Linked DNA regions of Drosophila melanogaster. The protein of the gene in region 3 interacts with the protein of the main gene of each other region in a pairwise test. Each region holds a gene or a part of one and is shown on either strand. Other genes may lie near its edges.

Region 1 (8,691 bases), on a different chromosome or scaffold from region 3:
GGCCCATTCAGCGCGTGTGTGCACTTGTCATTGCCTGGAAACTAAGCCACACAAAAGGGGCTGTTGTGGGTTAGGGGGGCCGTCCAATATGTTGGCCAAATGAGTACGCGCAGCGGGGATTGCTGAGTGATTTTTCCAGTTCTCCTAGCGAATACATATACATTCGTTTAGATATATACATATAGATATCCACTTTATTTGGGGGTGCTCTTCAAGGCCCTAAAACCGCGAACAAGTTGCCACTTCATCTCCATAAAAGCCAGCTGATAGTGGAGATCTTGTGAAAGATATATTTTAGTCGGCTTTGAGGCTGGGAAAGGGAGTGCAAAGATAGTTACACATTTTCAAAAGAACGACATTCTACAGTTCTGTTCTTTTATGTAATGATCCATTAATTATTTACTCATTACTTTAAAAACTACTGGTTGTTGCGGCACAAATCTAATATTGATTGATTGCAACACCCTTTTGGGGATGTTCATCACACGCCTGCTGAAGCATATGCTTCCTATATCGCTGACACCCACAAATCAATAGAACCCCCTTCTGATCCAGAGTTTCGGAGTGGGCTAGGTGGGTGCATCGGGATGACACGCGTCACCGCTCAATGGAACCGCTTGGCACTAAATCAGCCTCAATTGAGAGTGTGCTGGCTAACCTACTTGAGCGGCAGCATTCAAAACCAGCGATTTGTGGCACGTTGGCACGTCTAATTGGAAGACAGTTGGAATAGGTACAAGGGATCTGAACAGCGAATTCCTGGCGGTAATGCCGCCTAGATCCGCACACCAAGGTTGCCCGGTAACCGTACCCAAATATAACGATTGCGAATCAGTGGCGTCTTATCAGGTATCCACTATCTGTCGGTACCATCGGCCATCCTCTGACGCACTTCACCTGCTCACGACGCAAACCAGTTCAGCTCAAGTGTGGCGGAACCCAAAACCAATTACAGCTGTCGACGGTTATTTGTTTGCCCGACATATATACCACAATTATTTCTCATTATCGAGCGGTGCGATAATTTGATTCGACTTCGTATAGCTGGATATTTTCGGCTACTGCCAAATTGGCATTTGTCCGCTACTTATTTCGATTTGTTTGCATTTGGCCAAAAAGGCACTTTTTTTATTTTTTTTTTTTTTTTGTGCGATCGTGACTGCAAAAGTAGCTTTATGGCAACGTCAGCAGCGCGTATTAAATTGTATTTAAATTAAAACAAATTACGGACAGGCCGAGTTTGTGTGCAAGTGGCGGCAATTGCTGATATTGTCGTCACATATGAGGCATTAAATTAAATAAAAATTTATTATGACGATTTAAGGAGCGTCGGGCAACAAGCAAAGTGCGAATCAAAAGATACAGGCACAGATTCACACACAATTGAGCTACATATACAACTGTATGTATCTTCTGCGAGAATTCGAACAATCTTTCAATTGTTTGCATCATTTGGAAAACATTTTCCATTCCATTTTCGTTTCGAAATGCCAAGATTTTAACATTTATGGCAGGCAGGTATATGTAGCTATTTTTTTATGGATCTCCAGTGCCAAAAGAAATCCCACGGACAAGTGGCAGCCAAATCCGATTTTAGCGAGTTCTTGCGGGTTATATATTTATTTACTCGATCTAGAATAGTTGGATCGCCCGCTGTTTTTTGTGTTTATTCATTTGTTATGCCTTCCCATTTTACCGGCCAATTGAATCCGAGTAATATTCGAAAGTTATGTCATTTCCTTAGCTATGCATTACAGATTGCCCAGTGGAGCCGGCTTAATCTCGACCCAGCTCGTTTACTTCCTCCCACAATGCGTTCGCGGTAATTGCGGTAATTGTTGTCGTTCAGACAATATTAAGTGCGTGACACAAGACGAGTTCAGAGTTCTGGAGATTCACAAATCTCGTCTTACCGCCCGAAACTCGTTTGAACCGGTGGCGAACAGGAACAATTGAGCCATTGTTGAGCTCCGGCTCAGCTACTTCAGGTAGCTGGACAATAAACTACCCCTTCGGAACTAAGCCACCCCTGAAGGGTAATGATCGATGGACCTTGAGAGACCTACAAGCTGGAGACCAACTCGAAAACAAACGAAAACGAAAATAAATCAACGTACCGCTCTAGAACTTAATCTACAAGTGTTGGTCGAGCGAGTGTTATCTGATAAGCAGACGAAAGGTAAATATAGCGCAAAGGCACAGATACAGATACCGATACCTGGGAAACTGGAGGCCCAGACCCCTAATAGCGGGTTATGCAATCGTTAGTAATTAAGACCCTACCCATTGACGCAAACTGGGCATGTGCCAAATATCACACCGCAGCGAAACAAATCGAAGTCCTTGTCGAATGCAATCTGTGTGCTGGATGTGACAGCAAACAGTCAATGGGCGAGGTGATAATTTCCACATCTTGCGATTATGGCCGCCAATTGATGATGCCCACATAGCGTAGATGGCTTTTTCCAACAAGATCTATTCAAACGGTTTGCCATTGTCAGTTGATTAGATTTTTATTGGCGCGTAATTGAATTAAAACGGCCAATATTGTTTTGCTGCCACGCTTTGATTGCCGAAAGCAAGTCACCACCTCTGTCGGACGGTTTTCTGGTATTTTCCAGTTGTAATTATTATCACTGTCGCTTTTACTGCCATCGGCAATCTGTTAAGTAGTTAACGCGAACCTAAAATCTCCGAGCCGGGTAAAACTGGTCAAAAAGGGAAGGGGCCCGTCTATTCGGGTGCACAAAATATCTGGTTAATATATAGTATAGGTGTGTGTACTACATGTCAACGCTGATAACTGCTGATAGTATTCAAATCCTGGGTGTTAGCATTTAGAACCTGCCATTACCACGTTGGAAGCACATTATTCAGCTTATTTGCCGTCCTCTCCATAAACTCTTAATTGCTTTATCTGCATTTTTCGACTGATAAACGGGTAGATGCATACATACATACATATACCAACTAGTTCTCGTTTTGGCTGGCCCTTAATTCCAAATCATTTACTTATGGAACGCACATTGAGAGGAAGGGAACTTCATTATCGCGTTCTTAGAGCATCGTCAGATTGTAGTTTCATGATTTTTGATGTGCTTTCTTAAATTGACTTCAATTGAAAGCGCATGAGTCAGCATACAAAACGAAGCCACAACGCTGGTGGGGGGATGTGAGATATACTCGTACATAACTCAGCTTTACGCGGATTTGTGCGTGAAATCATAATAGAATTTCCACTGAGCACACTGGGTTAAGATATAAGATGTCGTAGTCCGGCAGATTGAATTATAATAATTATGCAACGTTGTATTCTACACCAACAATATTATCATCAGAATTTGCCCTTGAAAATCCGTTGGGAAATGCGTCATATTTTATAAAATTAATTGTATGAAACCCAACCCAATAAACCCAACCACAAATGTTTTTAAACTTAAAATAATTTGCGTAACTTATTTTGATTCTTAAAATATGCATACCACTACAATACTAATAAAGACGTAATTTTGGAATTACATACTTAATTTTATAACAATACAAATATGCACAATATAATATATATTATAATAATTATATAATAATATCTAAATATATTCTACAAGACACTTTCAAGTCTAAGTGAGGTCTTAAGCGTTCTTTTCAAGTTTTCCCGTTACAAATAATATCTGGACCCACTGTTTGTTGCGAGTGGATTCAGACCGCTTGCTCTATAGTTTTGCATACTTTCGGGCCGTCGAACCAGTATGTGTGTGGGTGCGTGCGTGTGTGTGACCTGCCCTTAGACAAGCCCCAAAATCAATAGAGCTGGCAATACGGACTTAGAATTGGTGGTCTAGCCCTAGGAACAGAACCGAAAGCCCGGGTGGAAACAACAACCCTGGCGAAGAACTCATTACCTTCTGCGGGGTAATTAAGTGGCGTCATCGGTGGGGCATTTAGTAACTAATCGAATGGTGAGGGGGTAGGGAAGGGAAAGTAAGGGCTACGTACTGAGAAAAAAGTACGGTAAGAAGTACGTCGATTTACGCTAATGTGCCAGTGTGTGTAATTAGCAGCGCACTACTCGGCCCAATGACACCAATTCCGGAAGGAGGGAAAGCACGGAAAATGGAAAAATAAACGTGTTATGCAGGGTAGTTTCGTTCTAGAGCTCGAGATTCCAATAATGAAATCTGCGAGATGCGGCGGAATGGGGCGTGGTTCGGGAGGGGCGGCAGCAGTACCGGTTATGTAAGCCGAAAACTGGAAGATTTCCAAGCACGGAAAAGCGAAAAGCTTTCGCGCCGGGAAAGTGGAAAATTTGGGAAACTGGTCGGCCTGGAAATGCAAATTGCGCATGCCAGCTAAGCGCACCTGGAAAGCGAGAGAGAGAGAGACAGAGAGGCAGAGAGAGAGAGAGAGAGCAAGAGAAAGGGAGAGCGAATACAAATTCGAGAAAAAAGTCAAAAGCCAGGCTCTAAGCCCAGGCTATTTTTACAGATCAGCAGGTAAGCGGATATAGGCCCATCCAGATCCAATAGGATTAGTAACTGCGCCCCGTTTCACATTCGATTCCGTTTGCAGTTACCGAAAGCCCGCAAACAAATTAGTAAACTTCGTTGGGCGTCGCCTCGGCTTTGTTGTTGTTGTCGTTGCTTCTCGCTTTTTCACCAGCAACAAAACAAATAGTAGTAGCAGCAGCAGCAGCAAGAACAACACCAAAAGCAATGTACACAACACAGATACACGCACACACCCACACAGCGCACTCGGGCTTCGATTTTTCCCACTAAAAACAACGCCCGCTCAGCGTATCACTTGGCCAATTTGTTTTGGCCCTGGTTCTTTTTGGTTCCCTCGTCATGGTCTAACAACAGTTTAAACTTAACCATTTTCTCACTTAACTAACTTAGTTTTCATCGTAATCCAGGCTTTATTTTTGCTCACCTCGTAATCCGACCTTAACGCCATGTTATTTTAATTTAACTCGATTATTCCCAGGGATGTGGAAAATTTACACAATTCCAACGTATCGATATTTTAGAAGTCGTGACTACCAAATGGAGAGTTATCGGCCTATTGTATCGAATAAGCCGGTGTAGAAATCGGGATGGCAATCGGTTAAGAAAATGTAATTGTAAATATTGCATTATGAATAAAATTACTATTATAATTTGTCAATAGTCCGAACAGTCTGGTTTATTTAAAATGAAAAGTTAAGTATTTTAAATATACCTGGATATTTATTTACCGAAAGTTGTTACTATGCTACCTTCAAATATTAATATCTGGATATGTTTGGATTTCAATACTCTCATTAATAATTGCTAATTTAAAATACCAAGTTAAAAATATGTTTAATTTTTCACCTCAATTTGGAAATAACATACTTTTATGTACTTTTTATATCAACTGCAAGCGTGAAAATTACTGGAGCTGCCAGATTAAAATATACACACTACGATAGTTGCCATCTTGAATATTTACAGATATGGAGAGTTGCCAACGTTATAGTTATGTGTATTCAATTTCAAGAGATAATAAAATACCAAATACAATACGCGCGTCTTCTTGCATTCCAAACATAGGTGGCGCTGTATAAGCAAAATAATTTTAAGTGGCAGATAGAACGAAGTGTAGATGGCGTTCGTTAAACGTATAAATTAGCTACTCTCCAAGAAATGTTCAACTGGACTTGAATCTTCTCAAATTTATTTCCTATGTTCAGTATTGATCGTTGATCATTGTTGCGATGAATGGCTTCAAACGGGCCAGAGATTCTCGAAGGCTCAGCAATTCGACGATCCTGTGGGGAAAAACGCATCTTGGAGATTATAAGTTCAGCTTACTTAAACTAATTAAATTATACTTAAATTTCAAGATACACCTGATACCCCTCGTCATCATTATCCAGCAACTTATCATTGGAAGCACCAACTGAAGGTTCGCCCGAAACCAACAGACCGCGTAATTGATTATAATTAAATTATGAATTTAATTGAGAACACTATTGATAAGTACGAGTCACGATGTGGAACTCAAGACGAAGATCTTCCAATTTGTCAGTGTAATGGAGCTATAAACATAACAATCCTCCAAACGACCAGGCATTTGGAAAACTTATCTCCGTCCGCACAAGATCTCATTTTATCATCCGAAATGCTGACCTCCACTTGGTCGAAGCTGAATTTATCGCAACTCTAAACCCCAAATATAATCAGGATAATTAGATGTCTCAAGTCATTTTGTTCTTGAAGGCTAGCATGTTCTATCTAAGTTAGCTTCCCAGCAAAATGGCATCTAAATTTCTACAGATTCATTCAATTGATCAATTCGGTGACCAATTACAAGGAAATGCCAAATTTGCACACTCTTACAAAGAGCACAGTTTGCACGGTTTCATTTGCCCTTACCTTCTCCGGAAGCTTCAATTGGTTTATCCGGTTAATTAATATTTTGAAATCAATTGTTGTCGACACGAGCACAAACAAGGAAGCAGCTCCAAAGGGGCTGCGGTTGCTTAGGCGAAACGACTTTTCGCTCAGCTGCAGAGCAACCCACTTTCCACTTTGCCCATCCTTTTGCCCGCCCTCTCATCCTGCGGCCCCGTCAATCGATTCAATATCCCATGGCCATTAGAAGGAAGCCGGCTCGACTACAAAATTGAGCCCACATAAGCTGAGGGGAAATCGCCTTGTTGCCACTGCCACTGTCTTCGGGTTTGGCTTTCGCTTTTGCTTTTGCTTTGGCATTGGCTTTGGCTCAAATAACCTGAAAGGCCCAATCAACAGGTGTCTTTGCCTCTGCTGCGTGCTGGTGCTTAGTGTTTCTGTGTGTCTGGGTGTTTGTGGTTCAACAACCGGGCCACCGGCGGCAAGGAGTCAGCTTCACGGCCGAGTCGGATGCCTCGGTGTGTGCCAAGCCAAATGGCGAGAAATAAAACTGGAATAATTCAATAGGAGGCGTGGCCAGCCCACTAAGCCCATGGGTAGGAAGTGGAGGGGGGGGGGTGTGTGGGTATGGCTGCGATGGTTGGATTCAGTTCGGAGAAGGCAGCTTCATAGCTTGCGTAATGAATGTCCTTAGCAGGCTGGGCACGTTTCATGTTTTTTCGTTCATGTTTGCTCTGCCAGGCTCCTGGAATCCCCCATCCAGGCCGCCAATTTGGAGCCAAACGGAAGGACCAGAATGCTGGCCATTAAAGCTCGTGCTCCTCCAGCTCCTTTTGCTCATTTCACTTAAGTTCATTTCGCAATTTAACACTACCAGGACACGCATCAACGAGCTGGCGTCTTAATTTGTGCCGCTTTTTCTGCCTACGCTCATAATAAATGCAAAAAATAGTAAGGGCAAAAAACAAAAAAAAAAAAAAACAAATAAATTTCCAGCAGAGGAAATGCCGAAAATATTTGCATGCAAATTTCCGACCTCCTTCACGCAGAAAAAAGCTGCACACCAGCAGCCGTTTGTCCCGTCAACCGCAATTTGAGTAAATTTAATTGAAGCCCCTTGGCCTCCTGCTCATGCATATTTATTGAGTCGTGGAGGGGACGGTGGGAACGGAAGCGGAGCACCCTTTTTGGGTCCAAGCAACAGTTGCCGCACATTGCGCATACGCCGCGTGTGCCACGGAGTAAGTTTCTGGCGCAGCACAGGGGCAGATCCAGCGCCAACTTAATTTCCACGGCACAACTACTACTACAGCCGATTATGCTAATGTCGAAAGAAAGAAAATTCAGGTGTTCTCCCGCAGCAGAACGGGGCAAGGAAAGGGACAAACAAGGAAAAGGTGACTTCGTCCTGGCTCTCGCCCTTCGTATTACCAAAGAAAGACAGCAGGAATTTGCAGCTGCAAGAGAGGAGGATATCCCTTTTGCTCCGCTTTCCCCTCGTTTGCTTATCGCGCTGACTTCTTGCTTCCGGTCTTATTTCTTGCCTTTGGACAGGACGACGCTGCCTGTCTGCCGTATAACAAATAGCAAAATGTCCTCCGTCCTTCCGCCCGTCTGGCTGACTGGCATTCGTGGCTGTGTCCCGGCTCGTCAACAAATTGTTGCTCCGCCGTTGCGTGAGTAAATTCCGTCGGCTTCTCGGTCTCTCGCTCGGCTCTCCTGCCATTCCGACATTGCGCATACGCCGTGTGTGCGTGAATTGCACCACGATGGCCCACTGTGCCTGGGGACGCGCCGCCTGTGCCAACTGTGCTATGGCCCGTATAACACCGGGCAGCAACAGCTGCTGGACGCACAGTTCATCGACAGTCCTCGTCTGGTTGGGTCCTTGGGTGGCAAGCGCGGCAAAAACGCAAAAACGCAGCACGAGTAGCAGCAACAGCAGCAACAGCAGGCACAGCAACACCAAAAGCAGCAACAGCATCTGTATCAGCCATCAGCAGTTCGTCCTGAAAAGCAAAAGAGCAGTGCGAGTTTTAAAGTTTCGTGGCTTATTTCCCGGAAATACCCGGTGACCATTTCGCGAGTTTTATATTCGATTCGATTCGAGTGCGGACTGAAGCGGTCAAAAACGGAGCTTCGGGTTCCTCATCAAAGAGCAGTCAGCCGGATTAATCCAAGCATTTGGGTTTGCGCACCGCCCAGCGGCATAAAATGATAAGTAAGTGCACAAAGAAGTACCACCATATTGTTAAGTTTTAATAAATAATTCAAGTTATGGGAGCAAAGAAAATACATTTAAATGTATACATAATGT
Region 2 (7,055 bases), on a different chromosome or scaffold from region 3:
GGCGTATGCTAAGGAATGCCAAGGGGCGGAAGGCGATGCAAATACATAAGGGGAGCGCTTAGCATGAGCAATTTTCTAGCAATGCGATGAGTAAGTGCGCATTCGAGCAAGGGAATTATCTTATCAGCCAGAAAAGCCTGATAAAAAGGCAATTGCTGGAGTCAGGAAAACACAAGAGGAAGAGCAAGAGGCAATGGCAAAAGGAGGAAGCGCGCGGTGGGGAAAAAGTGAAATTTCGAATTGGTACGTCTGCAGCAAAAGCAATAGGAACAACACGACCGTCATGACAATATTTTAAGCACACACCAACACAACGGCGCAGGCCACACACCCATACACACGCGGCACAAACGAGTTTAAGTTTTAATGCGATTTATTCGCCGTAAAAAAAAAATAAAAAAAAAACACAAATACTAAAACGGGTGTCCCCCGCTTTTCGCCCCCACTTACCCGTTACACTACAGTGCGTCGGACTCCACATGTCACCCTGTATCCCGTTGATCAAGTCGCACTCTCACGCTCTCTCCCGATCCCGATCCTTTGCTGTCTCGCTCTTGCTGCGAAGGTCCTGCCTTTCGTTTCTTCTTCTTTGCCTATATTGTAATTTGGATTGTTGTTGTCGATGTGTTTTGTTTACACTAATCGTTGTGTTTGTTGCTGCTCGCACACTGTGATTTCTTCTTATTGTTCTCAGTTGCCAATTTAATCACGCGCGACACGAACGAAACGCCAGGAGAACGTAGTGTAGTCTAATGTAAAAAAAAAAAGGAAAAAGACGGAGACGCGACGCGTGATGTTGTTGTTTGAAAGGTGGCCGCTAGAGTGACCGTTTGGGGGAAACGAAATGTGCCCACTGCCAGTCGGGGAGCTGCAAAAGTGCAAGTTGCGCGGCGCGACTGCGAAGAACGGCGTATTTAGTAGAGGTGGAGAAATCGATGTTGGCGGACATCGATGTTTTCAATAAAAACAAAAAAATTAACTGCTTAACTTAAAGATTATTATTTTTTTATAATTGCTTAAATAAAAAGGCAGTACTATAACTAAACATGACAAGCTTATTGCCGTCTACGTTTTTATCCGCCCCTGGTCCAATAATTGCTCCTATAAATCAAATATACTAATTAATGCAATTCAATAGAAAAGTAATTCAATAGAAAAGTAAGCCAGTATGCATACGAGCAGGTGCACGCATGCATACATGCATAAATATACGTGTCGTCTTCCACGACGCCAGCCAAGACCACCAGCAAGTCACTGAAAATTTGCAATATGCTATTAATAAATGGAAATTGGAAAATTTGGAAATTTAATTTATACTCACAATTTAAACACTTTTAACCTACGATGCGCAGTAAAGATGGAAAAACATCGATGATTCTTTGAAAAACATCGATGTTTGTGATTTTTCGAAAACATCGATGACATCGATGTTGGCATCCACCTCTAGCATTTCGACCCCAGCCCAGCCTGGTCGCACTAACCGATTACAGCTGTGGCGTCCTTGTTAATGCAACGCTTTTTCGTTTTTCGCCGTTATAATTATTATAATTAATATTCGCATTCGATATGGAGCCAATGAATCTGGGCAGCCCGGTCAACAGTCCTGGCTCCAACCAGACCCAGTATCTGCCACCTTTTCTGCTCGGCGATCCGCAAGGTATAACGCCGCACAAGAACACGCTGTCCCCGAAAACCGGGCGCTCTAATATAAGTTTCGGTAAGTAGCCGGCATCAAGCAGCTCGTACGCATTGGCTATATGAACACATGCCCCGCAGCCACCTCGCCCGGCGGCAGCAGTCCGCACGAGCTCAACCGCTCCGCTCTGAGCACACGCACTCTGTTCGCCGCCCAAGGAGGCGCCCACACGGCTGTGGGCGCCAACAGCTCAACGACCGCGCACGGCCAGACGCACAGCCACCACCAGACGGGACCGCCCACCCAGGGACTCTTCGACTCGCTGCGCGAACAGTCCGTCACCCCGAAGAAGAAGAACCATCTTGGCATGCTGCAGTTGCAGTCACCGAACCAGAGCTACCAGAGCAGCTATCACACGAATGACTCGTTCGCACCCGGGGCGCCCAATGCCATCAATGCCTCGATGCGAGCACTGTGCTCGCCACTTGGAGCCACTGCCTCGCCAGCTGGAGGCCTGGGCACATCCGTGACGACGGGCGGCAACTCGCGCCTATCCGACTTTTGGGTTACCATCTTCGGGTTCCCGCCGGGGGCCGGCTCCATGGTGCTGCAGCACTTCACCGTCTGCGGCACCATTGTGGACGTGGTGCATGCCCCGCAGAACGGCAACTGGATGTATGTGCGCTACTCCTCGCGCATCGAGAGCGACAAGGCGCTGAACTACAACGAAAAAATCATCGCCGGCAATGTGATGGTGGGCGTGTCGCGCTGCACGGATAGGTCGGTGATCGATAAGGAGAACATCGGCTCTGTGCCCAATGCAGAGATAGGAGATCCCCCCACCAGCCCCAGTGCGATTCGACCGTTTTCCCAGCAGTCGTACAAGCTGGCCCGCAAAGATAACATCATATCGCCGCAGAAGGATGTGCCGCAAAAGAGCTCCGGTCTGATGGACAAGGCCATGGACCTGATATTCGGCTGGTAAGAAGGGCTGATGGCAAGTCGGATGGATGGATAGATGGAGTGATGGAGTTTCCGGCTACTTATTTAATAATTCACTGCCTACATCCAGCATACATACATATACATACTTATTAAATGGAGATATATTAGCAATAGCATTAGCAAAAGAAGTCGAAGGGGGTGGCGCTGCCCTTCTACTTGGGCTCCAGGTGCGCCGTCTCTAGGTTCTTCATCTTGGGATAGCTAATGGAGCGGCTGTCCAGCTTGGACTGGGCCCACAAGATCAGCTTGAGCAGGAACATCATTTTGGGCGTGGAGTCCTCGCTCTGCTCGCAGCGCAGGATGGCCGAGTTGAGCTCGCTAGCGATCTTCTGGCGGTACGACTGCTCCAGCAGGTCGGCGAAGGGGCTCTCCTGCGGCTTCTCGAAGGCGAGCAGGGCCAGGGTGCGCTCCAGCTCAAACATGGCCTCCTCGCCGGACTCGGACAGCTTGCTTTGGGCAAAGGACAGGGCCTCCTCCACCTTGCCGGCGCGTATCAGCTCGATGAGCTGCAGCTGCTGCAGGTGGAAGAACAGATAGCGATCGCTGCCGAGCAGCTCAGGATGCAGCTGGTTCACCAGCTGGGTGGCCTCCTCGATGCGGCCCGCCTGCACGGCTTCGCGGATGAGTATGCGCCCATCGAGGCTGCTCAGCTCCACGCTGGGCTCCAGATCCGCCTCGTGCTGGAACTTCTCGGCGGCCTCCTTGAAGCCCTCTGTGGATTAGCCCTTGATTAGCTGCTTGCTGTGGCTGCGGGCTGGTGACCCGGACTCACCTGTGACCAAGTAGTTCATGATCAGGCGATTCATGTCCGCCTGCTTGAAGGGAAACTGCTCCAGGCGCTGCAGCCACTCCTCCTTGATGATGGCCTCCGATTTCTCGTTGTAGCTCATTTTCTTGCTCTTGCGTATCTTGCCAATCTTGAGGCCGTTTTTCCAACCGATTTGCGTCGAATTCTGTTTACCTAATCGTCTTCCCGCTTTTCCTAGCCCTGTTTATGCGCTTTTATTGTTTACTAACTTGCAATGCACAAATGACGCTGGAAATTTTCTTTTCTTCTGTTCAGCGTGACCAGAGTGCTTTAGCAAGCGCAGCATGGTCACGCTGTTTGATTGCCAAGAGGGCGCGAATTTTGAAATCAAACTATCGAATGAACTATATTTTATTGTTTATTATTATTGTAGCGAAAACACCCTAAATTTGTTATTTAAGCTAGAAGCTGGCTTAAACTACTTTAGTTAAGATATATTAGTGCAATCCCAATCCACTATTCGCCTTTGCGTTCCGAACTGAATATAAAGAGCTGCTCTATTGCTGATCTAACTTTATTGAATACTTTGAATTTGTTTATTTGTCACTTTACAAGTATAAGAGCCGCTAGCGACGCGACCAGGTGCCTACGCCGCCGCCCCCGCCACGGAAGAGGGGCGCCAGCAGGCGCAGTCAGCCTCAGTTCTTTCGGTTGCCACGGCGCCGCATGGAGGCGGTGCACTTGGGGCAGTACCACTTGCCCTTGGGCGGCTGGGTGATGCCCACGCAGGGGTAGTGGAACCACTCGTAGGGACAGGCGTCGTTGTCGCAGGCCACCATGTCGCCGTAGGACACCTGGTTGCAGGTGCAGTAGCGCGGCTCGTTGGGATCGTACGACCATTCGCCCTCGTTCGTCTGCTCCACCACGAGTCCGTTCTCGCCGATGGTCAGGCTGGAGCCGGGCGTTACCGTGGTGGTGGGCAGGTTCATGGCAATCATTCCGGCGGGCACGCCCTCAGCGGAACTCTCCGCCAAGTTGCCTCCGCCTCCACCTCCGGGGGTCATGGCGAGCAGCGCCTGTCCACCCACAGACATGTAGGTTGTCGTGGCCGATGCCGCCGCCAGGGCCGCCGACGTGGTGAGCTTGTTCACCGATTCCAGACTAATCGACGACGACGAGCCAATCGAGTTGCCCGACGAGGAGCCGGCCGTCGGCTGCACTGTGGGCAACGTCAGCGCTGTGGTTAGCTTCTTCTTTTGCTTCTTCTCCTGGTGGTGGCTGCTGTGCCCGCCGCCGTGACCACTGCTGCTGTGGTGTCCGTGCCCATGACCATGCCCATGGCCATGACCATGTCCGTGCCCATGGCCGCCATGGTGCGACTGTGAGTGGTGCGAATGATGCGAGCCGGTGCTACTACCGCCAGCTGCGCCGGTGGCCAACGCTGTGCCGGCAGCCACTGTCACCGATCCAGCGGTCGACTGCTGCAGTCCACCCTGACCGGCTTGGGTCCAGAAGTCGGTGGTGGTGCCCGCTGTTCCGTGTATGGCCTCGTAACTCGCCTTGAGGCTGGCCGTGCGGCGGCCTTGCTGCATCTGCTGTGTGGCCACGATCGCCTGGCTGGCTGCCGCCGCAATGGCACTAGATGCGGCGGCTCCTCCGCCCAGTTGTTGCAGGTTGTAGGTGACTGTGGCCCCGGCGGCCGAGTGCCCACTGACATGGGCGTGCCCGTGGGCCGTACCAGCAGCGACCACGGACGTGGAGTTGCCGCCCGCTGCCGCTGCGGCGGTCGCTCCACCCGAGGTGCTTAGCACGGTGTGGGTAAGGTTCGTGGGCAGTTGGCGGACCAGCGAACCCGTTCCTGTGGCAAGCGAGCTGCTGGCAAGACTGCTACTGCCGCCGGCCACGCCCATGGCCACAGGCAGGGTGAGATGAGTGGCGGCGATGCTGCCAATGTGGTTGGAGACATGAGTTTGGGCAGTCGTCGCGCTGGCCAGGCTGGCGGCTGCTGCGGCCGTTGTGGCGGACGAAGATGAGGCTGCCGCGGCAGTCGTGGAGCCCGAACCGACCACGGGAAGTGAGTGATTCAGATTGGCGCGCTTCTCCTGAACAGGCACCGTGCATATGGTTTCCCGCCGCTTCTCCAGCTTGCGGTGGCGCTGACTTGAGCCCAACTGGGCGGTGGAGATGCTGGAGAGGGCACCGCCCGTTCCGGCAGCACCACTGACCAGTGCAATGCCGGAGGAGCCAGTGGCGGCACCCGTTGCGTGTCCCGTCGAGCTGTTCACCATGGTATTGGCCGAACTGGCGCCGTAGTAGCGGTTCTCCTTCTGGTTCATGCTCAGCAGCAGGGCGGTGGCTGCAGTGGAGTTGCCGTCCAGCTCCAGAGAGCGGCGCTCGAGGATTTCGGTGATGCCGTTGTTGTCCGCCTCCAGCTCGCACTTGAACTTGAAGAGCTCGCTATCCAGGCGGCGCAAGTAGCGCTCCACCAGCTCGTGTATCTGAGTGGCAATAGCCACCTTCTCGTCGGCGTCCTCCATCACCTTGAAGTACTCGCCGCGCAGGCTGTGGAACTCCGTGTCCATCGACTCGTGCTGCAGTTCGTCGCGCTTGCACTGCTTGAAGAACATGTGGGCCTTCTTGTCCAGCGAGTCCATGTTGTCTGTGCACCGCAAGGAGCAGTTATTGGTTAGTGATCCGGCGAAAAGCAGAGATTCGGATTCTCTGGTTGCACTTACTCTGGACGGCGAGATCTAGTTCGCGCATCTCGGTAAAGCGGTCGCGCAGCTCCTGCGGCAGGTGCTCGATCATCTCCAGATAGTCTTCGAGGTAAAGCATGATGGCGATGCGAATGGGCCGCGGTGTAAACCCAAAATTTTAACTACTTTGTGTGTTTATTAATGAAAATTCGTGTATTGTTGCGGGTATGTGTGTGACCGGATGGCGAAACGAAGTTAATCCCAGATGCGGATGGTAGTGCTCGATAATATCGATATTTAAGCAATCGACTCGAAACCGCGATACAAACTCAGGGTGGATAGCTGCGACACAAACCCTGTAAGGTGAAATTCGAAATTTAAATAAATTGTATAAATGGAAATCATAATTAATGATATTATTTATTTACATATTATAAGCTGTATTGTATAAAACTAAAAATGTGAATATATTTCAAAACAAATATATACTCACATTTTTACTGTTCAAAAGTTGTGAACAATAAGGAGTAAGCATTTTAAAGATATAAACAAACAACAGATGCCCATAGGATTGTTTCAAATATATCATTTTATTTCACTTATTGCCTGGCAAATGCGTGTTTACCCGCTTGTTTTTGGGTCTGGGATCGTGGCTCCCGGATGCACATCGTCCACATGCAGCCACTTTCGTTGCCACACGCGTCTCATCGTCATATGTATACTACATGCGTAAATGTAAAAAGCTTAGCTTAAACTTAACGAAAGTATTTAGAGTTAAGGTCGCTCCGTTCGGCTAGATTAACTTATTCGAATGCGAGGGCGCAGGCGCAGGTGCGGGTGCGGGGAATGATCCAAACAAGGTTTGAACGCAGCGGCGCGGAAACAAGTCAAGCTGCTAAATGCATCCAGTTTACTATCTAGCGGAAGGGGCCTCCTTCTAATCGCCAATCTGCCATATCAAATCAGCTAC
Region 3 (7,815 bases):
GCCAGTATCAAGATCATGTGGCCCCGCTCCGAAGAGGAGAAGCAAAGGGGACGCAATTGCGGCTTTGTGGCCTACATGAGCCGCAAGGATGCGGAAAGGGCCCTAAAGACACTGAACGGGCGCTACATCATGGGCTACGAGATGCGTCTAGGATGGGGTAATCTATAGATCTTATATTGAAGTTCTTATTCCTCATACATCTTACTTAATATTTCAGGAAAGACTGTGCCCATAATGAATACGCCCATTTTTACACCGCAAGCATTGCTTGAGATGACCCTGCCTCCGCCTCCTTCAGGATTGCCCTTCAATGCCCAACCTCCACCCAGTGAAGCTGATGTGCTGCCCAAGAAAAACTACAAGGAGTTCAACCAAGAGGACAAAGAGAATATGGAGCGGGTAAGTGAATAATCACCTGCTAGCGTCTAAAGAAATAAAAATGAAAATGTTCAATTTTGTAGATACTTGCCAAATGCGTCGTTAAAGTCCATATACCCACAGAGAAGTATGAATTGCACCAAGGACATTCACTTAACAAGAACTCACGTTACTGTGCTTTTCTTTTTTTCCAGGGCTGTTCTTAATGTTATCCATCGGATGATCGAGTTTGTAATACGCGAGGGACCGATGTTTGAGGCTTTGATCATGATTCGGGAAATGGAGAATCCGCTCTTTGCGTTCCTCTTCGACAACGAGAGTCCTGCCCACATCTACTACCGATGGAAGCTGTTCTCTTTGCTACAGGGCGATACGCCCAATGAATGGCGGGAGGAGGAATTCCGTATGTTTAAAAACGGACCGGTTTGGAAGCCCCCGATTGCCAACTTCTACACTCAAGGCATGCCAGATGAGCTGGTTGTTGATCCCGATGCTCCTGTGGTGCACAAAGGAGCCTTGTCCAATGCGTACGTTTAGCATAGATAATCCTCGAAACATAAATGTTTACTGTACTGTAAATGTATACTGAAATAGGCAACGCAACCGACTCGAGGATTTGATTAGGCACTTAACTCCTGAACGCGCCCGCATTGGAGATGCCATGATCTTCTGCATTGAGCACGCAGATGCGGCTGATGAAATCTGCGAGTGCATCGCCGAGTCTCTGTCAAATATCAATACATTGGCTTCAAAGAAGATTGCTCGACTTTATCTGATCTCAGATATACTGCACAACTGCACTGTTAAAGTTGCGAATGCTTCGTTCTTCCGTAAATCGTATGTATATATGTTTATCAAAGCATACACATTGAAATATCCCCTATTATTTAGTGTGGAAAAACAATTGTTGGACATCTTTGATAACCTGCATAACTACTACTTGAACATCGAGAGTAGATTGAAAGCTGAGGGCTTTAAATCCAGAGTCTGCAATGTTATCCGCACATGGGAGGAATGGACCATTTATCCCAAGGATTTTATGGCCCAGCTGACGGCCAAATTCTTGGGCAAACCTGTTAGTTAATGAAATTCATTTCAAATTGTGCATGTAGTCTAATGGAATCTTGTGTTTAGTACGTCAAGCCAGTCAATAACTCACCTCAAGCCGAGGAAACGCGATTTGATGAGGCTCTGGACGAAGATATCGACGGTGCGCCCCTTTCCGGAGAGGAAAAGGACGACGAGGATCTAGACGGAGTGCCACTAGATGGAGCTGCTTTGCTTAAGAGCGCCTTGAAGCGAGCCATACCTGATGCAGATGCTGGTACTCCAAAGCGTGACACACCTAAGAAAGATGAATACCTCGATGAAATCGATGGCATACCATGTAAGCATAAGAAAGTGATTTAAACCTTCTTACTACTAAGTAAATAATCCTTAATTCCAGTGGATGATGATCTCGACGGTGTACCGTTGGAAAAAGAAACCAAATCTACGGCTAAGTTGCCTGGCTTCATACCCTCAAAGTGGGAGACAGTTGATCCCCAGCAAGTAGAAGCGCAGGCGATTACCACCAGCAAATGGGACACTCTCGATCCGCCAGATCCACCGAAGTTCTTTAGCTCGGACGACGACAGTGGAGAAGACAATCCGCAAAAGTACACCGACGAGATGCGTCAGAAGTTAAGAGACATTGAGTCGAAAGCAATTCAGTACCAGGACGAACTGGAGTCCGGAAAGCGCCGCCTGGAACCAGGTTGGAGTGTCCCCGAACAAGTGGAACAATTCCGGAAGCGATTACTTAAACAGGTAAGATTTGTAACATACAGTAAGTCGGATGTAACAACTGAATTCTTTGCGAACGAACAGGACTCGCGATCTGAGGCAACTGTAGACTCCCCGCTCAGCTACATGCACATAAAATCCAAGAGCTCCAAGGTGAGTGAGAGTCCAGCGCTGTTCAGAAGCAGTTCCCGCAAACGATCCCACTCGCCGTTCTCTGGTGGCGAATCCAAACGACGTGACTATTCACCCGAAACCTCGCGCTCATCCAAATCCTCGAAACGCAATCGGTCGCGTAGTCCGTCCAGTTCACCGAAGCGGTATACAGAGCGGTCGTCTCGCAGCTCCCGCTACGAAACTCCTGCCTCCGGATCGTCGCGATCACGCAGTTCTCCAACCTCCTCGCGCTCCTCTCGCAGAGAAGAGCCATCGCCGCCGAGACATCGCAGCGACAAGCACAAGCACAAACATAGGCACTAGAGTGTCTGCTCTTCGGACGATTTGTATTTAATTAAACATGGATTCTACATAAAAACACTTTCGTCGTTTGTTTTAAATACACAGTATATATAATTTTAAATCTAAATCGTTTGTTAGGAAGTGGGACACACGCAAAACAGACGGCCCAGGCAGTTCGATTCCGCTCTGCGAATTTGTCTAAAAACATGAATCTAAGCAAGCTATCTTAAAATGGTTACGTTTTGTTAAGGAAAGCCGGCCAACCAACACCAGTCCTCGAACCGCCTGAGCCTGGTCATATAAGCAGTGGTGATTATCATAAGGTGAATACATAGATGTGGCTTAAAAGTAGATGCGAACAGCCTCCTCGGCATTCTGCTCCACGGGGCAGTAGGGGCACTTCAGTATGTGGCCAACACTCAGCTTGTGCAGGGCGTCGTTGGATATGACATGACCGCAGGTCAACTTCTTCGGCGGATTGTCCTCGGAAGTCTGCTGGCGCAATATGGGGCAGGCAAAGATCGAGTGGAATCGGAATTCCGGCTGCAGATCGATCTCAATGGGCAACTCGTCGCAGCCGTTCCACATGCCAAGGACTTGGCGCGACTGCATCACCTGCTTGATATTGAGCAAGGCGGGCAGGGCAGTGCATCCGGCATTGACCACAACAGACAGGGCGGAGTTCTTGCTAATGCCTAGCAGTTGGCATGCGTCTTTGAGGAATATGAACGACAGTTCGGTCCACTTCTCCTGGCCCAAGAAGTGCTTGTAAGGCGAGTTCTCCAGTCCACTGGGCAGATATATAAAGCTGGCCATCAAGTTGGCTATTTCGTGCTCATAGCGCACAGCAAACTTCTTGAAGTTCAGTCGAGCGTAGGAGATGGCCTCGCGCTGCGAGTCCAATCCGTAGGAGACCAGCTGCATGAAACGCATGCGGTGCAGCCGGAACTCTATGAGCGAGTGGCGGTCACTCAGCTGCTGGGAGTACATCTTTGCCCACTTGAGGGCGTCAGTCAGATCCCGCTTTTGGATCTTCACCCAAATGCCGTAGATGTCGGCAAACTCGCGCTCCGAGTCGAACACATCCTGGGCATGCTCCGGCGACATCTTGCACTCGCGGATTAGCGTGCGAGCCACATCGTCCATGCCCTGGCGACAATAATGCTTGGCAATGGCCTTGTTCAGCAACATCAGGTTCTCCTCGTCCTGCAGCACGTCCACTCGCATGGTGGACGAGAAGTCGGCGCTAAAGTTGCGGTCAATGGCCTTGCCGATCTTCGAAATGGAGCCGTGCAGATCGCGGTGCTCCGTGGACAGTTTTTGCACGCGCTCGTGGCACCTGGCGAGAGCATTCCGGACGCTCTCCACTTGGCGCTCGGTTAGGCGTTGTGGTGCCGTCGGTTCCGTCTCCACCTGCATGCTCACCGCATCGCCCATGGGATCGTCCTGGGACACCTGGGTGCTCGAGTTCAGAGTGGTCACCAGCTGCTCCGCCCTGCTGAGAACCTCTACCAGCTCCGACATCTGTGTGGCTATATCTCCGATGTCCGCCTCTGCGTTCTCGTGAAGCTGCTCCAGTTTGCTGACCACTCGGGTCAGGTCCTTCTCCACCGACGAACAGGCCAACGACTCGCTGTCCATTGTTAGCTCCAGTTTCGTGGGGTGAAAGCCTAGAAACCAGTCACGCCAGGCGCGCGTTCACTTTCGATTTTACAACCTTTTGCTTTCGAGGATTGATAGCACTGTGATTCTTCAAAGTCACGACGATATTCGGTGGTCCAGCGGAAAATGCGTATTTATAAATTGTTAATTTTATAACACAAAGAAGACGAAAACATTGGAGCTGGGTGGACCACTCACGATGCTATCGATAAATCGAATAATTTTAATTTCGATAAAGGGCAACAGTGCTGAGCGAATTAATATTTGTATATTCCGCATTTTACGTATTACCGTTATATTGGATCCTTAGTTGATCCTTAGTTATATATAGTTAGTCTAGTTTAACATCATAATAATGCATAATAAAGTAACCATTTTACGAACCAAATATATATTTGACCTTTATATATTAATAATAATGTGATTCCATTTAAAACAATTACAAATATACAAAAATTTATTAAATCCCATAAGCCTTCTATCAGTGTAAAGGATCCGTTAACTTTAAACGATAGAAAAGTATCGATAGCACTCGCATGCATCGATTGACAGCCAATGCTGCCCATCTCCGTTCGGTCGACTGAAAAATCAATTATTATTGCTGCTGCTTTCTGGCAGAGAAACTTATAACGACAAACAAACAGTTTGAAATTAGCGTAATTAGATAAGAAAACGAACTTTGAAACCAAAGGTGTTAGTCTTTAAAAACGAAACTGATAATTATTTAAAAGGTACCTCAGAACACGAGAGCAATTCCAAGGACAAAATCTCCACACTTTGAATTCATAATTTTTAAAAATAAGTGATGAGTCTTAAGCCGAACGGCATTGAACCCAAATTACAAATGCTGTGCCTCCAAAAATAAAAGCGCAGAGAGCTCGAAAAACGTTTTCCAAATTAATGTAGACAGTGACAAGAAGAGGGAAATTTTTAAAATAAAAGTGGTGGAAATAAGAAGATGCTGTGCAAATAACAGACGTGCATAGTAAAAACAATTTTACTTTCGCCACTTTTCAGTCAGTGCGCTTGAAAGCGAAATGGAAAACGGTCGGAAAACTCATAGCACTTGGCAGTGTGTGTGTGCGTGTGTGATAACAAGAGCGAAGAAGCTGCGAAATGAAAAATATGAAAACACGAAATTTCGCACACAGTGCTGGTCAGCAAAACAGCAGCAATAGCTCAAAAAATTAAATTTAAAATTATATTATAAAATTTTTTTGCTGAAATATTTCAAATTAAGTTTGCCCAATTTCCCAAGCAGTTATATGTATTTTGATTTAAAATCTATTTCCGAAATGAATTAGAGAGCATTAATGTTATGTCGGCTGCTGTAGCGTAGCTCTCGGAAATTCCCGGTGCAGGCCCAAGCTGCAAATCACTTGTCTCATCAAAAATAAAGGAAAATAATGGCCGACGACGATTATGGGGAAAAGCGCGCCCGAATGGTGTGTCGGGTCTTCAGATCTGATCTGCCGAAAATTCGCTAATAGTTTCAAAAATTTGCCTGGCCAGTTCGGGAACAACATTCGAACTTTGCGTAAGCAGTCGCTCTGTCCAGTTTTCTGTTTTCATTTTTTTTCGAACCCTTGGTCGTTCAAAAACCGTTTTCCAAAAGCGATACGAAAGCATTTTCTTTTGGAGAAACGTTCAATATTATTTATGCGGTCGTTAATTGTGATTTGTGCGGTGGGAAAAGTGAAAATAATAAAGAATTATTAGACGGGCCGAAAAGAGCGAATTGCGCGAGCTAAAAATAAAAAAGATCGGGACCGCTATTTATGTAATAAACTTTTTTGTTTTCCCGCAACAATATTCAAACGTATACAGCATTTTGCGCTGCGATTCGTGACCGATCAGTGATGTGAATACAACTCCAACGAAAGCCGGAATCAGCGAACTGTAGCGTGTAACCGATTATGCATCTATGTATCTTTCAGATAATGCTTTAAACGTACAGCAAATCAACCATTAGCCAGCCAAAATGAGCCAATGCCAAAGTTAAACAGCAACTAGAAACACAGCGCATAGTCAACAGCTCGCAGGGAGCCATCAACGAACCAAATCGATCAGGAACACATAGCAGAGTTGCCTTAGGGACTAGCTTTAACCACGAACCCATAGCCAAACGAATCCAGATAGCCCACGGAATCCGCTACCAAGCCAAAATGCCCGCTACAGCCACATCCAAGCCGAGAGCTCCGCTCGTCGAGGAGGGCATGACGCCCAAGAAGACCGCCCTGATCATCGTAACCGTGATCGGATGCATTGCCATCCTGTGGCCAAAGGTCTTCCATCCCATGATGTTCGGAGGAGTGCCTCCAAGCCAGCCAAACTTCAAGGATCCACGAGCAGCACCAGGCGGTAAGTCATCAGATTCTATTCACCACATTAGGAGCTAGGGCTTATAAATGTTGTACTTTACTTAATTTCATTTATCATTTATTATTTATGAATTATCATCATGATTTTCTTTTGATTTCCGTATGTGGGTGTTGTTGTTGTCCGGTCGATGTTGTAGGATGTTGTGATGTCGTCCTGGACAGGGAGCAGTTTCTGAATGCCACGAAGAAGGACACTGTCGAGCCCTTCGGTCCGCATTTGTATCGCAAGCAAATCAATGTTTACACGGGCGAAATAAGTATGTGGCTCGATTATTTATAATTTGCTTATTGGTTTTACTAACGGTGTTTGGCTCTACTAACAAGATTGTATCTACATGAAACAATCGATTGAGATACATTTAGATTCCTAACCTTTACGGTATTAATGAGTTTATTAATGTTTGGGTTTCTAAAATGTAGTGTTTATGTCAATTAAAAATTTGATAGTTTAATTGTGTTACTAATGAATCCATTGTGGTCGCAGGTCTGCGCCAGGAGCGTCCCGCCCACCTGCATCCGGAATCCATATACCAGGCCATGAGGGAGCGGGGTCGCGCCATTCCCGCCACGCCCACCGTGCCGATTCTAGAACGAAAGACTTCGCCCAGTAATCCGCCTCCGCGGATTGTCGACGGACGGGTGAGTTGGGCTACTATACATTTAACCATACGGTGTGCATTATTCTCCGGACGATAAATCCATAATTATAATATATATAGTTATACTGGTCGGCGGGCTGTGGTCGATGTGATTATAATGACGGCGGGATGAGACATATCCGCGCTCGCGTTGGAAGTCATTTATAAATAGCCAAACGTTTATTTTATTCGGATTCGGGTTTTGTTTTTATGACACTGCACGCAAATTGAAGGCAAGAGACAGCGCTAAAGAAAACACAAAAAAAGAATTTGTAAATGATGAGTGGGAGATCGGCCGAATGTGCTGCTGCGTATTGAACTTGTGCCAAATTCAGTGCGCCAGTTCCATTTTGCTCTCATCGCTACTAGAATGCTAGAATGGCCGGGGAGCACAAATCAGCTGTCCTCGCCTCATGTCAAAATACAACGGGGCGGATACGTAATTTTAATGATTACATGGGTTGTCAATAAAACACAATCGATTCCCTTCTCCTACAAAGACATCAATTCAAAAG
Region 4 (7,758 bases), 6.3 Mb from region 3:
TCTTTGCCAAAGAGATTCTTCCACACCGTGGTCTTAACAAAGAGAAGCATTTGGGTTAGTTTTGTTTCTCGCTTGGAGCTGCGCTCCCTCACGAAATACAGGTCGATTATGCGGGTGCCTACATCTTGACCCAGATCGTGGAGTCTGAAAACGCCTTGGAATTAACGAATTAATCGCAAAAACTTAGAGAAACTCCCACCTTGTTTGCAATTCTGGGACTGTAAACACTCGGCTCTGCGAGTACTGGACGATTTCGCTGAAAAGCAGCGCCACAATGCTCTGGGAAACCTCCGTTTTGCCCTTGGATAGTGGTCTGTCTAGGATGTTGCTGCGCGGACGCATCGAGGATATTTTTAGGGCCTCCAGTTTTTCCATTTTCCTGATAAATGTATCAAATTATTTTCCAAAACAATGCAAAGTGTGCACGCCACCCTATCTGCCCGAAATGCCAAAGAGCGTTGCAGAAATGGTCACACTTAAAGTTGCGACAATAATACAATAAATATTAATTATATTTATTAAACCACTTGCTTTTTTTTTAAAATGTTGATGTACATTTTAAAAAATATATTATTAAAAATATGCTGATTTGTTTCATAAATATCAAATGAACGAAGTGTACAATGTATAACAGAAAAGTGTGCCAAGTTGTTATACTAGCACAAACTGAAGCCCGCAAATTTGAATTCTAGTCGTTACTATTCAAACTCAATAGTTAATCGGCAACAAAATCGTCCGATTTTATCTTCCTTGTGCTGCAACAGTCAATCTTTTTACTCGGGTCCTGAAATATCACCTGAGACCAGTGATCTTTGGAGCATTGTTGTAATTCCGAAAGGTAATCCTCGAAGTGTTTGAAACGAATTTCCCGGGTATTGGGACAACCGACGCCGTGATAATAGCTGCACAAGCTATCGCATATCCAGTTTCGCTGTCCGGAATCACTTGCGTATTCCTCACTCTGTGCGTCATTGCCCTCCAAGGCATCCTCGTACATGCGCGACGTTATTCTCGATATGGATTCGTCGATCTTGTACTCCACCTCCGGGTTGAAAATCAGCTTCATCACCAACGGGTGATCCTCCTCCCGTCGCGCATATAGTAGATACCACAATGGCATCAGGTTGAATCGAATACAGGACATTAAACGACGTACGTGCACTTTCCTCTTGTTCCAATCGTGACCCAGCCATCGAACAGCTATAAAGAAAACCTAAGAAAAACATATAAAATGCAATAATAACTATAAATATTATGTTGAACACCACCTCAATCTCGGTGTTCACACAGATTTGATCGGATTCGAGCAAAAAAATCAGATGGGAGGTCGGCAGATCGAGGAAATCCCTGGTGGCCACAAAGGTGAGCAGAAACTTGCGGATCCTAGTCAGCATCAAATTGCGAACTACATCCATGGCGGGATTGTCCTTCGACTCGACGTATAGGACACATGCCGTATCCTCGTTGTAGTATTCCTCATCATCGAAATATTTCCAACAATGCGCCGCCAGACCAGAGATCCTCAAATAAGTGGCGGCCACATAGACCTCCACAATGTGAGCCAGCTCCAGGACGGGCTCATCGCTCAGCATCCATTTGTAGGAGAGCATAAAGGCCTTCTGGGACACGATCTTCTCGGGCAGGGTGACCAGCAGCGGAATCATCTCCAGTTCACTAAAGAAGCGAGAGTACACCTGCAGCACGATGAAGTGGCAATTGAAGTACATATTGTTGATTTCTATCTGCACAGTGGTCTTCAGATGGGACTCGAACATGTAGCGCAGCACCGTGGCCAGCCGATCCTTGCAAGGCTGCTCCAGTTTCAGCCAGCCATCGGCATCCTCGAAATTATGACCGAACTCGAAGAGGGAGCGATTCAGAGACGTGGTCTCCTCGACACCATTCTTTGATATCTTACTGAACACTCTATGCATTTCGAGATCCTCCGCCTTCGATACGAATCTCGCAATGGAGTTTATTTCATCATTGGAGGATAACTTCTCGGCACTAAGCTTGGGACTGCAAGGAGAAGGAAAATATTTTAAGATTACTCCGACTGGTTTAAGATTAACTCACTTGGTAAATAAAACGCTGCAGGTGAGTTCCTGCCTCTCGCATTTCTGTCCGTTCTGCCTCATTAGCTCCTCCATTTCGAAATTTGGTTTTCTTGTTTTGGATTTTTGACTGCACGGCTACTGTGTTTTTAAGTGTTTTAAAAAAAAAACACACTCGTAGCTTTCACATTGTTTATTAAATTGTGTTTTATTGTTGGTATTCTTTTGTTCACATTTTCAAATACATTTATATGAATAAATATATCATTTATATTACTATTTTCTTTATCCTTTTCTGCAATGACACGTTTCTTTTCAATTTAATATGAGTATATGCGGCTATTTTAACTATTTTTTCTGATTTCGATGTGAAACAATAAGGGTAAGAAAATGATACAAATTGCAAAAGGTGATATTTTATTTTAGCTAAAGTAATAATTCCGCCTTTTGATCTAGTTTTATTGTGTGTTTGAGGACGATTGCAATAATAGTTAGCTATTTTTCCATTGTGTAAGCGTGTAAATTAGAGAGTAATATAAAACGTAATTGTAAATTATAGATACATATTTAACATTTTGTACTTCTTGTTGTTGAGTGTTTTGTTTCCGTTTCCGTTTCTGTTTGATCCGTTCACGGTTCATCTTGCCTTATATTTTCAAAAATTTGCATTCCATTGATGTCCGTTTTCAGATCTTGGCTTGTATTTTCTGAGGTTTGTATCAATGTGTTTGCTGAATTTTGCACATTTAATAACAATTGCCGTATTTAGTTAATTTTTACAATAATAATGTTGCTTTTTAATGTGTTTTTTTTTTGCACAACCTTTGCTTATTTTTAATAAATATGCATTTTGTTTTTTAGTTTTCGTGTGAATTTCTTTCTTTCATGGGTTTTCTCACCGACTTAGTACAACAATAATTATATAGTAAGAAATAAATTAATGTTTTTTTTTTTATTATTTTTATATATATATATAGCTGCATATATGAGTTTGTTGACTTTTTGAAAACACTTAAATTGTTTGTTTTTTGTTTTTGTTTTATTTTTACCCCTTTGCTCAAATGCCTCCTCTTTCGGCCATTTTATAAACGGCCCAAAGTTGTTGGCATTTCAATAAAAATTACAAATTGCTTCGCATTCTAGAATTATTTAGTTGCAAAAGATTTCCAATCGAGCAATGCTGCGCTCTTTGTTTGTCCATCGACTCTCTAATTCTAATTGGTTTCTCATTCTATTTCAACGTCTGAACAAAAGATTTTGGAAAACAAACGTTTTGAGTTTGGGGCAAAAGGAATATTTTGAATCTTCATGAGCCCTAAGAAGAGACAAAAACATCCTTTTTATAAGGCAACCGAATGGGTACATAGTTCTGAACTAAAGCACATTTAAGTAACAATTGCCGAGCATAGCGAACGCACAAAACTTGAGCATTGCCGCAGACTCTTTTGCTAGAGGAGTAAATCGAATACAATTTGTAATTCTTCTTCAGGTTCGGAGAAGAACGGCTCGACAGCCGTGTCGTCGTCGTCCACTAATTCTTCTGCCGAGTTGTTGCGTGTCTCGATTTTTTTTTTTTTATTCATTTGCGCATCAGGTTGCCGTTTGTTTGAACTTTTCGTGTGAGTTTTTGAGCGCGTGACATTGATTAACAAATTGGAATCGCGCAGAGAAAATCGCATTTAAATATATTTAGTTCTCGTTTCGCCTTTGCCTTCGCCTTGGCCTTTTAATACTGTTCTCCAATTTCGAATTGTAAACAAGCAAGTGTAAAATAGCAAAAAACCCTAAACAACTAAAACTAAAACAATCATTGTATAATATTTTGATTTTTCAAAAAAATGTGTGTTCAGTTACGAATAAAAACAAATAGCCCGTTTTTACAAAACTATAATTAAGCGAGAGCACTAAACATAAGTTACAATTTTAAAAGTATATTAAAATTAGATACATAATCCTTCCTGCTCTTTTGTATATACAATTAATTATGGCAATTCAAATGGAGTATACCGAAATGATACTAAAATCGAACCCCAGACCCATTTTGGCAAACTGATTTTCAAGCTGAATTGCTTCTTACGCATTCTTCTTTCACCCGATTTGAAAAAGCTGTGCTTTTGCATCGACACGATTTTTTCATCTCAACAGTGTGAAAACATTGTTTTCTTGCCATTTATCAGAAAAACATTTCCTTGTCCACTTTTAGATATCTTTAAGATACCGTAGATCTGGTGAAATAATCAGTACTTCTTGGTAATCAGTTTGTAAAAATGAGTCCTCAGGCTGTCATCATGGATAAAGCCTAGAACAGCAAGCGTCCGTAATCGTTCTGCGGTGCCTTCCTGCCAGTTGATTGCATTAAATACGGCGGAGTCTGATGCTGGGGAGCACCCAAGCTGTGCGACAGCTCCCAGTTGTAAAAATGACGCTGCGATTGCTGTGATTGCTGCGACTGCTTCTGCTTGGCGCCCCACGGACGCTTGGCGCTGTTCATTATGCTCTGCTCGGAGTGGTGGTAGTGGAATTCGCTTCTGGGCCTGGGGTCATCATCGTGCTGTCCTTGCAAGCGGGCCTCCAAATGTCAGACATGCGGCTTGTGCTGCCCGCCGCAGAGGCCGCAGTGGATGCCGGCCAAGTGGCAGGCGCGGAGCGGCGGATAGCACCACAGGCAGGGCACGAACAACGAGAGGATCGCCAGGCCCAGCCAGCGCTTGCTGCAGCCGGCCTCGCTGGCGCTGCAGTCGCACGGATGCTGGGCCGTCTCGCCCTCGGCGTCGCTCATGCAGTGGTAGATCATGCAACGGGCACAGCCCATCCCAGAGATGCACTCGTAGCCGCTGCGAAACGCATCCGGGGCATATTCGCAGGCGCCCCGCCGATTGAAGTCCTCGCTGTACAGCTCGTGGCAGTAGCGGCATCGCAGGCGCGTCTCCTTCTTCAGTATGTCGGATACGTTTGGCTTGTGCAGTGGCTTTCCCGATCCGCCGTCGCGACAGGCCAGTCCACCACCCGCCGCCGTCTGAGCCGCCGCCATCGCCTGCGCTGCCTCCAGAGCGTTGCGCTTCTTTAGTGCACTGATCGACTCCCTGCGAGCATTGAGCACCTGCGCCCCCACCGGCTGGTCCACCACCGGATAGTTGTAGTCGTGGTGCACCGCCGTCAGCGTCACGTACGAGTAGTTCTCACTGGCCGCTATCTGGCCGGCCGTCGCCGGCGATGGAGCAGCAGAAGCGGGCGGTGCGTCTGGCGGCGACGTGGTGGCCGATGTTTTGTCCGTGGATATGTAGTGAATGGGCGGCGGAGGCAGCTTCTCCGAGTCGGAGTTGTTGCTGACGCTCTCTGCAAGGTAAGCGATGGATTAAAGATGTGCTCTCAATTGATTAGTCATTGGGTATCAAGTGAATCTTCATTAATTGATTCCACCTGTTTTTTTTTTTTTTACCCAATTTAGCAACACTTACTGTGACTTTTCTCGCTGCCCTCGGGGCTTGAATGGATCTTTTGTAAACTCTCGCTCTCCACAGGTAAGTCCAGGGTCATGAATACATCATCTTCGCCAACCGAATCATATTTGGTTAGCGGTGGGCATATTATCGTTGGATTCGATTTGGCCAGTCCTAGATAAGGTAAATGAATCAGGTTTAGTCATCATAAATTCCAAACTATTTATGAGTAAACAGCAAAGTTTTTTAGCAAGGCGCAAAGCAGAGAACAGTTTAAAGTTGTACAGAAAGAAGATAGATCTTGACGAGCGTATAATCAGAATACAGCTAAGTGTAAGCATGAAAATCGAAAAGAACTCATCGAAACGTGGTGACCTACTAGTGTGGACTAGACTATACTATTTCACATATATGTGCTGAGAATTTTGAAGTGATCGAGCAGCGCAATGTTCCTCTTCAAAGCAAACAGCACACACACACAAAACTAAATTCGAGGTACGGCCTCATTTAACACTTACCAATTTGAGTGAAATTATAGTTTTAAATGTTTGGTTGATTTGTTGATTTTTAAAACAATTTGCAATATTCCAATGTGATTGTGTGTGATGATGTTTGATAATTGGGTTGGTTTTTCGTTTGGTATTGTGGCAAAAGTAGAGCATAAGACATACAAAAAGTTATATATATATATATATTAGTAAACGAAAGCAATACTAAGTCAGAGACTTGGAAGATTTGGAGGAAAGAAAGGCAAGTGGCTTCGGCATGAGAAGGTAAGCAGTAGGAATCAAATAGCAACTAAAGCGGGCTGACAGAAAGCAGAGAGAGAGAGAGAGATAGAGAGACGGGATGTGCAAGCCGGTCATGCAACTAGTTGGTACATTAGATGGTAGTTGGGGCTCAGCCATGAGGATTCGGGCAGGGGTTTACCATCGATCAGCTCGTTGTAGGCGCGCAGGACGCCCTTGTCAAAGGCTCGCGCATCGGCGGCCGTTTGAAATGTGAGTCCATTCCGCTGCTTCCCTGCGCGCCAATGATGAAATGTAGGCATTACTTTGTAATACTTCAGATCACGATTGATCACACAGCTCAAGATGACCTGCCGGAAGTAATTCATTTTAATATCAACAGCATATTCTAGTGTGGGATCTATACTCACGCTCTGATCGGATATTCTCTGCCCGTAGATGATGTAGTCATGACCCGATGCCAATGGGGATAGCCTAGCCCGCTTCCGGATCGAAACATTGGCCAGGCCACCCCCGGCCAGCGGAAGCCAGCCCTCGGTGCTCTCGTCTCTGGTCATTACCTGTGCGCGTACTGTTACTAAGAAGTCGCTGTGAAATGAAAAAATTGGTGTAAATTGCATTAGTTTCGATGGAGAATACAATTTTAATCTTCATTTTAATATCTCTTTGTAACCATTTTTTAATGTGAGCTTATCATGCTAGACATATCTTAGCCTAAATACTAAAATCAGTAGCCATTCCACCTGCTTATTTTGCGTTTGGGACCAAGTTTGGTATAGGAAACCGTAGCCATGCTGGATGCACCAATGGTTTAAAACGAATGAGAGGCATCGAGGTACCAGAGCTGCCTCTATATCCTCGACAGGATAACCCACAAGTGTCGCTAATTTGGCTAATTCAATTTTTTGGCACCGTCAAGGAAGCCATAGCAAGGATACTAGTAGCACCTGCCATCAGCAAAAATTGATTCATTGAAGCGAGGGTAAAAAGCCAATATAAACTAAAAATATCTGGATGTCCTTCGTTATATATATATATATATATCCAAGCAAGGATATATATACCTTTATCTCATCTAGTCTTCAATTAAGAACATTCCGAGTTTATTGAGATACTTTTCCCAAATGAATGTTATGTTAAAAGCGGTTTCAGCTATAAAGAATCTGTATGTAACTTGGGGTTGCCAAATGATATACGGTTTCATTCTTGAAAATGAAGCCGCAACTTCGGAGCTAAGGACTTTCCTCGCCTTATGAATGGGGGAGCATAAAATCGAGTTTTTTATGACCTGCGCACAAGTTTCGCATAAATTGAATGTGCTTAAATAGGGGACAGAGTTCCCGGGCAAATCAAAAAGGGAGTTACTCAATGAAAAAAGCTCCAAAAAGGGAGTTGAAACTCCACTGGTCCAATGGAATGTGTATGTGTGTGTGTGTGCTTAAGGGGAGGGGTTTAGGTGCATGTGTGTGCACCGGTGTGCGTGTCATATGTACACATGCTTGTCCTAGTTTCGCT

The links.
Region 1: the proteins of Sou (region 3) and Atpalpha interact in a two-hybrid assay, tested with the Drosophila melanogaster proteins (one large-scale study listed by BioGRID).
Region 2: the proteins of Sou (region 3) and Hou interact in a two-hybrid assay, tested with the Drosophila melanogaster proteins (one large-scale study listed by BioGRID).
Region 4: the proteins of Sou (region 3) and CG12857 interact in a two-hybrid assay, tested with the Drosophila melanogaster proteins (one large-scale study listed by BioGRID).

The regions. Positions count from the first base shown.
Region 1 is NT_033777.3:20,945,068-20,953,758, reverse strand, and holds the start of Atpalpha (Na pump alpha subunit), read right to left. Parts: upstream 4,980-8,691; 5' UTR 4,954-4,979; coding exon 4,930-4,953; intron 1-4,929. UniProt on the Drosophila melanogaster protein: This is the catalytic component of the active enzyme, which catalyzes the hydrolysis of ATP coupled with the exchange of sodium and potassium ions across the plasma membrane.
Region 2 is NC_004354.4:18,646,740-18,653,794, forward strand, and holds Hou (houki), read right to left. Parts: upstream 3,706-7,055; 5' UTR 3,532-3,705; coding exon 3,414-3,531; intron 3,354-3,413; coding exon 2,794-3,353; 3' UTR 2,657-2,793; downstream 1-2,656. Other genes in the region: Rip11 (Rab11 interacting protein), read right to left, coding at 451-481; Nup35 (nucleoporin 35kDa), read left to right, coding at 1,567-1,717, 1,777-2,621; Ing3 (inhibitor of growth family, member 3), read right to left, coding at 4,088-6,048, 6,125-6,224.
Region 3 is NT_033778.4:21,012,941-21,020,755, forward strand, and holds Sou (souji), read right to left. Parts: upstream 4,507-7,815; 5' UTR 4,261-4,506; coding exon 2,962-4,260; 3' UTR 2,654-2,961; downstream 1-2,653. Other genes in the region: CG9346 (uncharacterized protein), read left to right, coding at 1-157, 218-399, 462-505, 573-905, 973-1,215, 1,270-1,453, 1,513-1,765, 1,826-2,187 and 1 more; RIC-3 (RIC3 acetylcholine receptor chaperone), read left to right, coding at 6,447-6,642, 6,800-6,919, 7,147-7,301.
Region 4 is NT_033778.4:14,757,407-14,765,164, forward strand, and holds CG12857 (uncharacterized protein), read right to left. Parts: upstream 2,197-7,758; 5' UTR 2,151-2,196; coding exon 2,077-2,150; intron 2,020-2,076; coding exon 1,269-2,019; intron 1,214-1,268; coding exon 716-1,213; 3' UTR 501-715; downstream 1-500. Other genes in the region: Trs31 (TRAPP subunit 31), read right to left, coding at 1-144, 200-375; Spred (Sprouty-related protein with EVH-1 domain), read right to left, coding at 4,633-5,390, 5,513-5,668, 6,425-6,593, 6,654-6,831.